Macaca mulatta: one gene and its partners. The protein of the gene in region 2 interacts with the protein of the main gene of each other region in a pairwise test. Links are inferred from orthologs where the notes say so. Each region holds a gene or a part of one and is shown on either strand. Other genes may lie near its edges.

The links.
Region 1: the proteins of FAM9B (region 2) and FCHSD2 interact in binary tests that used the Homo sapiens proteins (3 or more experiments, as listed by UniProt). The two-hybrid records come from large-scale screens. The link is inferred for Macaca mulatta from reciprocal best matches to the Homo sapiens genes FAM9B and FCHSD2.
Region 3: the proteins of FAM9B (region 2) and SLPI interact in binary tests that used the Homo sapiens proteins (3 or more experiments, as listed by UniProt). The two-hybrid records come from large-scale screens. The link is inferred for Macaca mulatta from reciprocal best matches to the Homo sapiens genes FAM9B and SLPI.

The regions. Positions count from the first base shown.
Region 1 is NC_133419.1:73,226,763-73,230,412, forward strand, and holds part of FCHSD2 (F-BAR and double SH3 domains protein 2), read right to left. Parts: intron 3,424-3,650; coding exon 3,319-3,423; intron 1-3,318. UniProt on the Homo sapiens protein: Adapter protein that plays a role in endocytosis via clathrin-coated pits. Contributes to the internalization of cell surface receptors, such as integrin ITGB1 and transferrin receptor.
Region 2 is NC_133426.1:8,568,807-8,572,556, reverse strand, and holds the start of FAM9B (protein FAM9B), read left to right. Parts: upstream 1-988; 5' UTR 989-1,255; intron 1,256-2,012; 5' UTR 2,013-2,101; coding exon 2,102-2,129; intron 2,130-2,629; coding exon 2,630-2,750; intron 2,751-2,929; coding exon 2,930-2,961; intron 2,962-3,750. UniProt on the Homo sapiens protein: May play a role in meiosis.
Region 3 is NC_133415.1:98,092,707-98,096,456, reverse strand, and holds the start of SLPI (antileukoproteinase precursor), read left to right. Parts: upstream 1-1,500; 5' UTR 1,501-1,522; coding exon 1,523-1,607; intron 1,608-2,329; coding exon 2,330-2,488; intron 2,489-2,908; coding exon 2,909-3,058; intron 3,059-3,636; coding exon 3,637-3,641; 3' UTR 3,642-3,750.

The DNA of each region.
Region 1 (3,650 bases), on a different chromosome or scaffold from region 2:
ACAGTAACAGGCCCAGAGGTAATGTAAATTTGGAAATAATGTGATTAGAAATATATATATATATGAAATATATATGTGTGTGTGTGTGTATATATATGATCTTATACATATACAAGATCATATATATATATAGTCTTGCTCTGTTGCCCAAGCTGGAGTGCAGTGGCCCAATCATGGCTCACAGCAGACCAACCTTCCAGGATTAAGCCTCTGCCTCCCAAGTAGCTGAGACTATAGGCATGTGTCACCATACCCAGCTAATTTATTTTCATTTTTAATAGAGATGAGGTCTCATCTGTTGCCCAGGCTGCTCTCAAACTCCTGAGCTCAAGAGATCTTCCCACCTCAAGTCTCCCAAAGTGATAGAATTAGAGGCATGAACCACCGCACCCGGCCTAAACATTTTGTTTTAATATCGGGGTCATTCTTGTCATTAACTTTGCAGTAATGAGGTCTCACATTTTATATAACCAATGTTCTCTCTTTTGTATAGGTATTTATAATAAATAAAGTATCGAATGAAAGAGAAAAACCAATGCAAATGACATACAGGCAGAAGAAAGGAAAAGGGTATGTGCACAAACCATTATTGTTAATTCCTTTGAAGACTCTCATGGTCCAGTCTATCCAAAAATTTTATTATGATAATCCTGTAAGTACTACCCCAATAAATATGCCCTCATATTTGCTGGCTAATTTTACTTAGGTTATTTTTTGTATCTGATAAGTGGAAACCAAGTGAGAGATTATTTTATGCTAACAGTAAAATTAATTAAATGCTACAGATATTCCAAATTGAGAAAATGGATCTGCTGTCATGGTTTCAGCATACTATATTCAACATTCTTGATAAGAAAACTATCTTTGAGAATGTAGACTTAAATACTTGCATCAGAAAAGGTGAGACATTGTGGTATGAGAATTTCACTTCATATTTTTAGTTTGAAACTAACAAACACAGTCTAGTTTGGCATACTATGGAAATAATAGGTCATTTGGCCTAAATGAAGACTCTGTGTGCCTGATACCTACTGCTGCTACTACTGGGGATGGTGGGAGGTTTTGTAGAGTTAGGGTACCAGTTGGTGACACCACACATGGAGTCTGGAAATGGAAAATACATGAAATACCCTTCAGAAAACCTCTGAGACTTGTCTCAAAATAATTACTCCTGTTCCACCAAGGCTCTGAAAAACTGGCTTCATCTAGAGCGCGGAGAAACAAACAACAGGAATAACTCTTCTACCACATGCCAGTGTTTCTTTAGAGTAGGGGAGGGCTTGCCAACACTACTTGGCCAGCACTCTAAGATAGTAGTTTAGACACGACCCTGAATTCAAAGAGAAAAATGACTATTCATTGTACACCCTGCCCTCCTCACTATGGAGGCTGCCAATTAGACTGTGAACAGGAATGAAGTGGAGGTGGGGTTACTGGGGTTTCTCCAGCCCAGGCAGATGGCAAGCCTGTTCTGATTCAGATCACTTCCATGGGGCTGTGCCAAAAACATGCCCATATTCTCTATGCTTGTCTATGCTGCCTCTCGCTTCACGCCACAACCAGTGAAGCACTTCCTCAAAACTTCTAGAGTTCTAAGGGGGTGCTAGAAAACCACTAGTTTAGATTAACCCTAAACCAATGCAGGGGTTCCTTGCATTGGGTCCCTGAAAGATGCTTGCCCACAATTTTCTTACACACTTACAGGGCTACACTATGTCTCACGGGTGCTTATCCTGTCTTTGGGAAGATCTGACTACTAGAAAGTATTTCCCAATACTAAACTCACATCTACTTCTTTCCTACCTTCATCTTTTGGTTCAAGTTCTTCCTCTTGAAGTTACATGGCATAAGTCTGTGCTATCCCCTTTTATCTGACTAATCAAATACTATTCATCTGCCAGTATTCATCTTAAGTCTTCTTCTGTGTTACACCCAAAACAATCCCTCCCAGAGTGATTTCTGTGTCCTCTGGGTTCTTCAACTACACTTAATGCACCACTCCTCGGCACTTATGCTTTACCATCTTAGTTATTTTTGGCATTCTTTATGCCTTTCTAACAAGAACATAATCTTTTGATGGCTGGATGGTGTCAGTCTTTTATGAATGTCTATCTCTATACCCCTTCATCATGTTGCTGCTGAGTAGATAGTGTGTGCACGGGTCCTCCATGAACTGGCCCTAACCACAACAAGTTTACTTATTTTCTATCACATTTCCTCACAAAAATCCTCCACTCTAATCTATCCAGCTACCAAATTATACCCTGTGTCTTCCTCATTTGCTAATACTTTCTTGTTTCCTATCCCAACCTCTCCCCATCTAGAGCAGAGAGTATTAGCCTCAGGCATATGAACTCTAAACACCGTATACAAAATGTACATTTTTGTACGTGGGAGAGAATGTTTCACAGCTTTCATACAACTCTCAAAGGTCCCAAGACTCCATAAAAAATTAAAATCCACTATTATAAATTTTTTCCCATCTTTGCTTAACCAAATCTTCCCTATTCTTAAAAGCCCAGCTCATGTCCCTGGATCCAGGGAACCTTCCATATGGGGGAGATTTCCCAAGCTCTGAATATATATGTATGAATATATATGTATATATATCTCCATATATATTGATATATAAGGAGATAGATATATCTAAATTGATATATATCTCTAAATTGATACACATACGTCGATTTTTCTACCATTAATCTCTGTGGTTTATTATGTACCTTGTAGAAATTTTAAAATTAGTATCTTCATTGTGACTTAAATCTTTTGTATTTAATGTTTCATGACTGTAAACTTTACAGCATCTTTTTGTTATATGTACTGCCTTCCACAGAGCAGGTACTTAACAAATACTACTGTGGATGGCCGGGTGTAGTAGCTCACGCCTGTAATCCTAGCACTTTAGGAGGCCAAGGCAGGTGGATCACGAGGTCAGGAGATAGAGACCATCCTGGCTAACATGGTGAAACCCCGTCTCTACTAAAAAGATACAAAAAAAAATTAGCTGGGCGTGGTGGCAGGCGCCTGTAGTCCCAGCTACTCGGGAGGCTGAGGCAGGAGAATGGCATGAACCTGGGAGGAGGAGCTTGCAGTAAGCCGAGATCGTGCACTGCACCTCCAGCCTGGGCAGCAGAGCGAGACTCCGTCTCAAAAAAAAAAAAAAAAAAAAAAAAAAAATCCTACTGTGGACACGAATGAAGACGGTGAATCACCTTCATCTCAGTGTGTGTAGCAACTCAGTTTTAAAGGTGCATATCACAGTTGCGACAGTGTCATTAGACCTGGGCAAAATGCCACAGTTAGCTGCCACCTTACCTCTGCTTTACGAATATTTTCTCTAGCTTCATCTATTTTCTGTTCCAGCTCTGCTCGGCTTTGTTCTGATACAGCAGGTCCATGACACTCCAGATCATCTAGAACCTATTAAAAAAAATGGGACAATAATGATGACTGTTTTTTACTTTTTATCTTCCTTAAGTGATTAGAGTATTTACATAATTCAAAAGGCTTTAGTGACTAGTAGCCACAATTTTTTTCATTTATTTATTTTTTGAACATTTTGAAATAATTATAGACTTACTAGTAACAAACTTACTACAGAGAGTCCCTTCAGTGGGGAAGCCAGGACCAGCCACTATCTGACTGAC
Region 2 (3,750 bases):
CCTTGTGATCTGCCCGTCTCAGCCTCCCAAAGTGCTGGGATATAATTTCAATAATATAATGAAACTCTATATCTTGATTTACAAACTTTAGGCAATATTTATTTACTCCTAACTCCAAAACAACTCTCCCCCTATTATAGGCGACTGGAGGTGGGAAAAAGCTGAGTTAACGATAAGTATTAAGGCATTAATTTGTGGGTGAAGGTTGTGGCATATGTCTGCATAAGTCTGGAGCATGAGGGTTTGTGGGCAAGTCTGGGGCATGAGGATGAGAAAGAAAAGTAGTGAGGAAACAAAAATGGTTATGGGCAGGGCACGGTGGCTCATGCCTGTAATCCTAGCACTTTGGGAGGCCAAGGCGTGCAGATCAACTGAGGTCAGGAGTCCGACACCAGCCTGGACAACATGGTGAAACCTCGTCTCTACTAAAAAAAAAAAAAAAAAAAATTAGCAGGGCTTGGTGTTGGGCTCCTGTAATTCCAGCTCCTTGGGAGGCTGAGGCAGGAGAATCACTTGAACCCGGGAAGCCGAGGTTGCAGTGAGCTGAGATCACCCTGCTGCACTCCAGCCTAGGCGATAGAGTGAGACACAGTCTCAAAAACAAACAAAAACGATAAAAGCACAATCCATTGATTGAAAAGGATGCAGCTGGGCATGTTGGAAGCACACAGGGCATGGGAGGGAGCCTGGGCCCAACCCATAGGATGATGGCCATTCTAGCCAAAGGGGCAGGGGTGGCTGGAAAGAGCCCCAGGGCGAGGTTCTAGGCCCTGTCCACTTGGCCTCCATACCAAGTCCTGTGTCCCTCCCCAGGAGCAGAAGCTGAAAGAATGTGGGAACAGAGGCCCCAAAGGGCCAACCCCACCTCAGTCCACAGCAACCACTTGCTGTCACTTAGGGGAAGGGGGAGGGCGTGCCAGCAGGGGGCGTGGCCCCACACGGCCTGTCACACGCATGTGCACTGAGTCGACCAATCTGCGAGGAGCGTAGGAAGTGCTGTCGGCAGCTCTCACGAGAACTGAGTACTTGTTTTCTTTTTTGTTTTTTGTTTTTTGTTTTTTGTTTTTTGAGACAGTCTGGCTCTTGCCGCCCAGGCTGCAGTGCAGCCGCGCGATCTGGGCTCACTGCAACTTCCGCCTCCCGGGGTCAAGCAATCATCCTGCCTCAGCCTCCTGAGAGGACCCGTTTTCTAAGAGATCCTAGTGGTGCTGTTGTCTGCAGGTTCTTTGAGGGCGCCACATCAGGGGTCCCTCAGGTGAAGCGCTCGCGGTGGGGAGGCGGAAACGCAGGCACGAGGCCCTCTGGGAACCAGGGTGTGAAGCGCTGGGCCGCCCGCTGACCTGTGAGGAAATGCCCCTGGCGTGGTCGCCTGGGGCCTGGGTCAGGGCGAGGCCCTGAGGGTGGGCTGGGGTGGGCCAGGGCAGGGAGGGAGCTGGAGCCGCCTGGGTGATCCCTAGGGCCCAGGAGGGCTTGTGCATGTGTTGGGGGGAGGTGCGGAAGGTGGGGGGAAGTGGGGGTGGGGCGAGGGTGTTGTTGGGGACAGTCTGAGTGGGGCCCTCCTGCCCGGCCTCCCGTCAGGACAGGACACTTGGGGTCATCAGGGGTCCCCTGTGCATCCAGGCGGGTGAGTGACAGTGCAGCCCCTGACATTCCTCTGGAGGTGGCTGGGGAGATCCTGTGTCACCCGGTGGCCCTCCCAGCCACACGGGGTCGCTGGGGGACCCAGAGGTAGGGCTGAGTTCTGTCCCAAAGGTGCGGCGAGGATCCCGCAGACGCCGTGGAGTTCAGGTGTGAGGGGCAGCTGTGAGCTCTGCAGCCAGCCCCGGGGACGGGCTGGACGGGCTGGACGGGCCAGGACAGGAGGGGACACTGGCATCTTTTCGGTCCCCTCCTGCTCCCACAGGAGACCCAGGGCGTGCCAGCCCCACCCTTCTTGAACCTGTGATCCCAATGGCTTTCCTTTCCGATGCCAGGGTTCCTTTGCTTCCTTAGTGTGCCTTTGCCCTCATCAGGTTCAGGGATCACCTGTAGCTTCCCAGGACAGCCAGCCACGGATCCTGTGGGCAGGAGGGCTGCCAAGGCCCAGTTGGAGGCTCAATTTATGGCGGCCCAGGGGAAGGAGCGTGCAGGTAAATACAGCCCAAGGTGACCCGGAAGAAAGTGCACGCCCAAGAGGACGGTCTGTCTGCTTTCTGCGCTGGGGGCACAGGGGTAGCCCAAGGACCCGGGCCCCTTCGTGGCTTTGGAGTCCATCGTGCACGTGCTAAGATGCCCCAGGTTTTCAAAGCAGGCTCAAGGGCCTTAGGCTTCCCGTGAAAGGCTCCCCTCATAGCGGGGTTACAGATGCTCCCAGAGCAGCTCTTCTCCATGAGTGCAGTCATGACATCCAAGGGGTCTGACGTGTAGTATGTTGTTTACTGGGACTTGAACCCGAAGGGCTTCCAAAAGTGCCTTGATAAAATGGTCAGAAGCCGGTGATTCCATGTACAGCTCTGCTTTAAAGCCTTAATTGGCAGATAGCCAAAAAAAAAAAAAAAAAAAAAGTCTACAACAAGTACATTTCTCCACAAAAAAAGTCCACAACAGTGTCTTCCTCTAAAAAAGGTTTGTCTTTTAAATTTTAATGCAGGAAAGGATCCAGTCAGTGACGAATGTGAGGAAAGAAACCCTTTTACAGAAACAAGGGAGGAAGATGTAACTGATGAGCATGGGGAAAGAGAACCTTTTGCTGAAAAAGACGAGCACACGGGGTAAAGTGTTTAAGTCACTTTTGCCTGTGGGATAGGGTCTTTTAGGAAAAGTCACCTTTGGACCATGTCATCACTGTTCTATTCTGTGCAGAACATTTCACATAAGACATTTCTTTTCCCAACAAACATGGCATTTTGTGTAGTATTATGCTAAAATTTTGATGTAACTTTTTTTACAGGGCTAATACCAAGAAGCCAGAAGATACTGCAGGTATATTTTAGGAGTTATCTGTCGTTTATGAAAATTGTTTTCAATCATGCAACTGTTGCAGTAAGTTATATGAATCAGTGGATGACAAGACTGTCTTAAATGGCTTATCATATGTAGCATTTAACATACGTATTTAATGTAATCTGTTTGATAAATTTTTCTTACCTCTTTGATTGTTGATGTGGAATGTGAGAATGCTTCTAATAATGGTGAAGCGAGATGGATGGCTTTTCTTTCATACACGTGGAAATTTAATTGTTTGGAGAATATTAGAGGACATTGGAGGAGAAACAGCTCTATTCGTTCCTTTTAGTGTACGCAGATTAAGTCATATATCAGGTTTTTTTTAAGCTTTCACTTTAAGTTTGGGGGTACATGTGCAGGTGTGTTATATAGATAAATTGCATGTCACAGGGTTTTGGTATACAGATTATTTTGTCACCCAGGTTATAAGCATAGTACCTGATGGGTGGTTTTTGATCCTCACCCTCCTCCTACCCTCCACTCTCAAGTAGGCCCAGTTGTCTGTTGGTCCCTTCTTCCTGTCCATATGTACTCAGAGTTTTTAATATGAGTTTTTCATGTTCTTAATTTAGCTATTCTATTGTCACAGCTTTCTGATTTTGTTTTATTTGAAGTACAAGAGAAAATTGAATTCTCTAAAATCATTTTCCATTATTATTCCAGTAATAAACTGTGTAGTACAAAAGGACAACTTTTCTATCTAGTGAGAAACATGTAATTGGATCCAAAAACTCATAAACTTTATATTGCTGTGTGAAATATTAG
Region 3 (3,750 bases), on a different chromosome or scaffold from region 2:
AAACAGATCTGCTGCCAGTTGACTGTCTGGTTGTGGAATACTTAAATACTTCATGTGGGGCTGTCACTACTTGATAATGAGTGAGTCTTTCATGTCTGTGAAAAGTTCCACAAACATTCACTTTAGGAATGAATGGGAGAATTCTAAGCATGAAGATAGTGAGTCAAGAGCTTAGAGTTTGCAGCCAGATGAGCTTTGGTTGAATTTTATTTTATTTTATTTTATTTTTTTAAGACAGAGTATAGCTCTGTTCCCTAAGCTGGAATGCAGTGGCATAATCATGGTTCACTGCAGCCTCAAACTCCTGGGCTAAAGCCATACTCCTGGCTCAGCCTCCCAAGTAGCTGGGACTGCAGGCATACATCATCATGCCTGGCTAATTTTTAAAATTTTTTTGTAGAGATAGGGTCTCAATATCTGGCCAGGGCTGGTCTCAAACTCCTAGTCTCAAGGAATCCACACACCTCAGCCTCATGAGCAGCTGAGACTGTATGTATGTGACCCTACACTCAGCTATGGGCTGAATTTTAGAGATAATGATGACTCTCTTTATAATTAGAAGCAATCTATGCAGATTGGGTAGCATATAGAACGAGTTTAATTTTTTGCTGTCATGTGAGATCTGTAAGGGTTTTTGGGGAATTTTAGGAAGCAGTCCTCTAAGATCTCAAATTATCTCATAGCTAAATGTTGATTACAGTGACTGATGAGCTGCTTTCCCCCTTTATCTCAGATTCATTTCAGTTCTCTTTAGTGGGAAGGGATACAATTCATTTATTCTTTTCAGAGTCCCTTCATGCCCTTAATTTCATAACCCTCTGAGAAGGGCTGACTTGTTAGTATCATTTCATTTCACAGCTGAGAAAACTGAGCTCTGAAGAGATTTGCTGAGAGCAGAGCTCTTCTTCAGCTTTCATTTGTTGAGTGAATGCTTTTCCTGTGACAGGCACTGGGGATAAACGGTGTAAATATTTCAGGGAACTAAGTATCGGTTGGTTGAATGAGCTGAACTTTTGAGAAAGAAACTGCATTGAGCATTCAGCAGAGTTTCACAATGCCTTAGAGTCTAATAATGTGAAAATCAGAATTCGTAATGTGAGAATAGGATGTAATGCACGAAGTCTCAGCTGGGGGTCTGCATCTGGTTTCAGTTCCAGGTCCAGGTAGCACCTTTGCAATTGACCACTTCTTCCCCTCTCCACCTGTAAGGCTAATGGCCTGGGGTCTCGTGATGTTTAGGGCTCAGATGGACACTGAGATGGCCTCTTTAATCAGCCAACCTCTCAGGCCAACCTCTTCCCTTTCTTTTCTGGTAATTACTGTATTGGCCTCAAAGCCTCACCTGGCATAGGAAAGATAAACCGTCTCCTTGGTGCCAGGATTTCTGGTCTCTGGCTAAGCTTCCTGCTTATGCAATAGTAGCTGGGAGAGGCCAAAAGAATTCTGGTTGGGCCACACCCACTGGTGAAAGAATAAATAGTGAGGTTTGGCATTGGCCATCAGAGTCACTCCTGCCTTCACCATGAAGTCCAGTGGCCTCTTCCCCTTCATGATGCTTCTTGCCCTGGGAACCCTGGCACTTTGGGCTGTGGAAGGCTCTGGAAAGTGTAAGTTGGGAGTCATTCTGGTCTAATCTGGGCTGCAGGGTCAGAGGTGCGGTCTCCTGGTGATGTGGGTGTGTCCCCTTCTGTAGGCTCTGATCTCTCAGCTTAGTTTCAGGAGACCTCCCTGAGAGTGGAATACATGTCTGGCTGAGCTCCAAGGTTTCTGTGAGGGTTTCTGAGCTTCTGGAAATGCTTTTTCTATGCAGCCATGCTGTCGGCCCAGATCCCACTCTCTCTCTCTCTCTGTCTCTCTCTCTCTTATCCTCTGCCTTCTTCACCTGTCTGCGACTCTCAAATCATTAGTTTCTGACTCTGCTTCTTCTTTGTGTCTTCGCTTCTGCTATTTTGTCTCTGTGTTTCTGCCTTGGGCTTTAGCTCTCAACTTCTCTCACACTGGTTCTATTTATCTTTGTTTATCTGTCTCCATCTCCATCACTCCCAGCCTTCCTCTCTGCCTTTGTGTAGCCCTGTTTTGCTCTGGGGTGGGAGGTCTTGACTAGAAGCCTGCTGCCCTTTTCTTGGGTCTGAAACATCCCCTGTCCATTTGTCCAATTTAATCAAGCCCATCAATCCACCCGGAGATCAGGCAGGCATGACCCTTTGGGCTTTGTGGATAGCTCCTGAGGTAAGGGTCTCTCCCCCTCAAAAGTGGTGCTTTGTTCAGCAGGCATGATGACTTCTCAGTGCCCAGCCTACTCCTGACCTCTTGACTTTCTCTTCAAAAGCCTTCAAAGCCGGAGTCTGTCCTCCTAAGAAATCTGCCCAGTGCCTTAGATATGAGAAACCTCAGTGCCAGAGTGACTGGCAGTGTCTAGGGAAGAAGAGATGTTGTCCTGACATTTGTGGCATCAAATGCCTGGATCCTGTTGACACCCCAAGCCCAAGTAAGCAGATCGGGGAACTGGGTAGAGAGGAGTGAGCCTGAGGACACAGCATTAGGGGGATGGCACTGGGTGATGGGTCCTGCCAGGCCTCCTTGTCAATCAGTCAATGAGTCACATGCCCTAAGGAGGAAGGTAGCCAGCAGGTGGTGAAGCAGCGGGCATTTAGATAGTCAGGTAGTTGGAAGCCTCCCACCTAGTCAGCACTGGACGACTGGCCCCCTGCATCAACGGGGGCCTGATGTTCTAGGACAGCCAGGTGCTATGTTTGGGGGGTGACTTACGGAGAAAGTGGTGGTGATAGAGATCGGGGGGGATGATCCGACCTGCTCAGGTTGCAGCAGGGGCTCACTCTAAAAAGTGGAGATAGGAGGGGTTGTGTAAAGTACAAGGCCTCTGACTGGTAGCCTCACTCTCACCCAGCGAGGAGGAAGCCTGGGCGTTGTCCACCAGCTTATGGCCAATGTATGATGCTTAAACCCCCCAATTACTGTGAGATGGATGGCCAGTGCGAGCGTGACTTGAAGTGCTGCATGGGCATGTGTGGGAAATCCTGCGTTTCCCCTGTGAAAGGTAAGCAGGGGCCGAGGGCACACTGAGCTCCCTCCATCTCAGCCTCAACCCTCTGGAGGCCCAGGCATATGGGCAGGGGGACTCTTGACCCCTATTCCAAGCAGAGCCTCTGTCTGACTCCCTTGTCCTTCAAGAGAACTGTTCTCTAGGTCTCAGGGCCAGGATTTCCATAGGATCACCTGTGGCTTTGATTCTATTCTAGTGTCTCTGGGTGGGGGTCCTGGGCAAGTGACTTTCTGAGTCTCAGTTTCTTTATCGGTAAAATGGACATAATGAGATTGAAAGTGCTCTGCAAAGCACTATGTGCACTAAGAATTTATTATTCAGGTTGTTTCCGTCATGTTTTCTGAGGTTAAATCCCAAACGATCCGTGGAGTTTGAGGATTATCTAATTCAATGCTTTCAATTTAGAGTTTTACGGTGAAAATGAGACTTGTCTCCTGACACTAAGTCTCTCTCAACTATAGCACTATCTTGCTATTTTCTTTATCTCAGGAGGATCCTTGGGCAGAAGGAAGGATGTGAATATGATTTGGCTGATTTCTATGCTGAAGCTCTTATCTGATTTTCTCTCACAGCTTGATTCCTGTGATTTGGAGGAGGCTCTGGAGTCCTGCTCTGTGTGGTCCAGGTCCTTTCCACCCCCAGACTTGGCTCCACCACCGATATCCTCCTTTGGGGAAAGGCTTGGC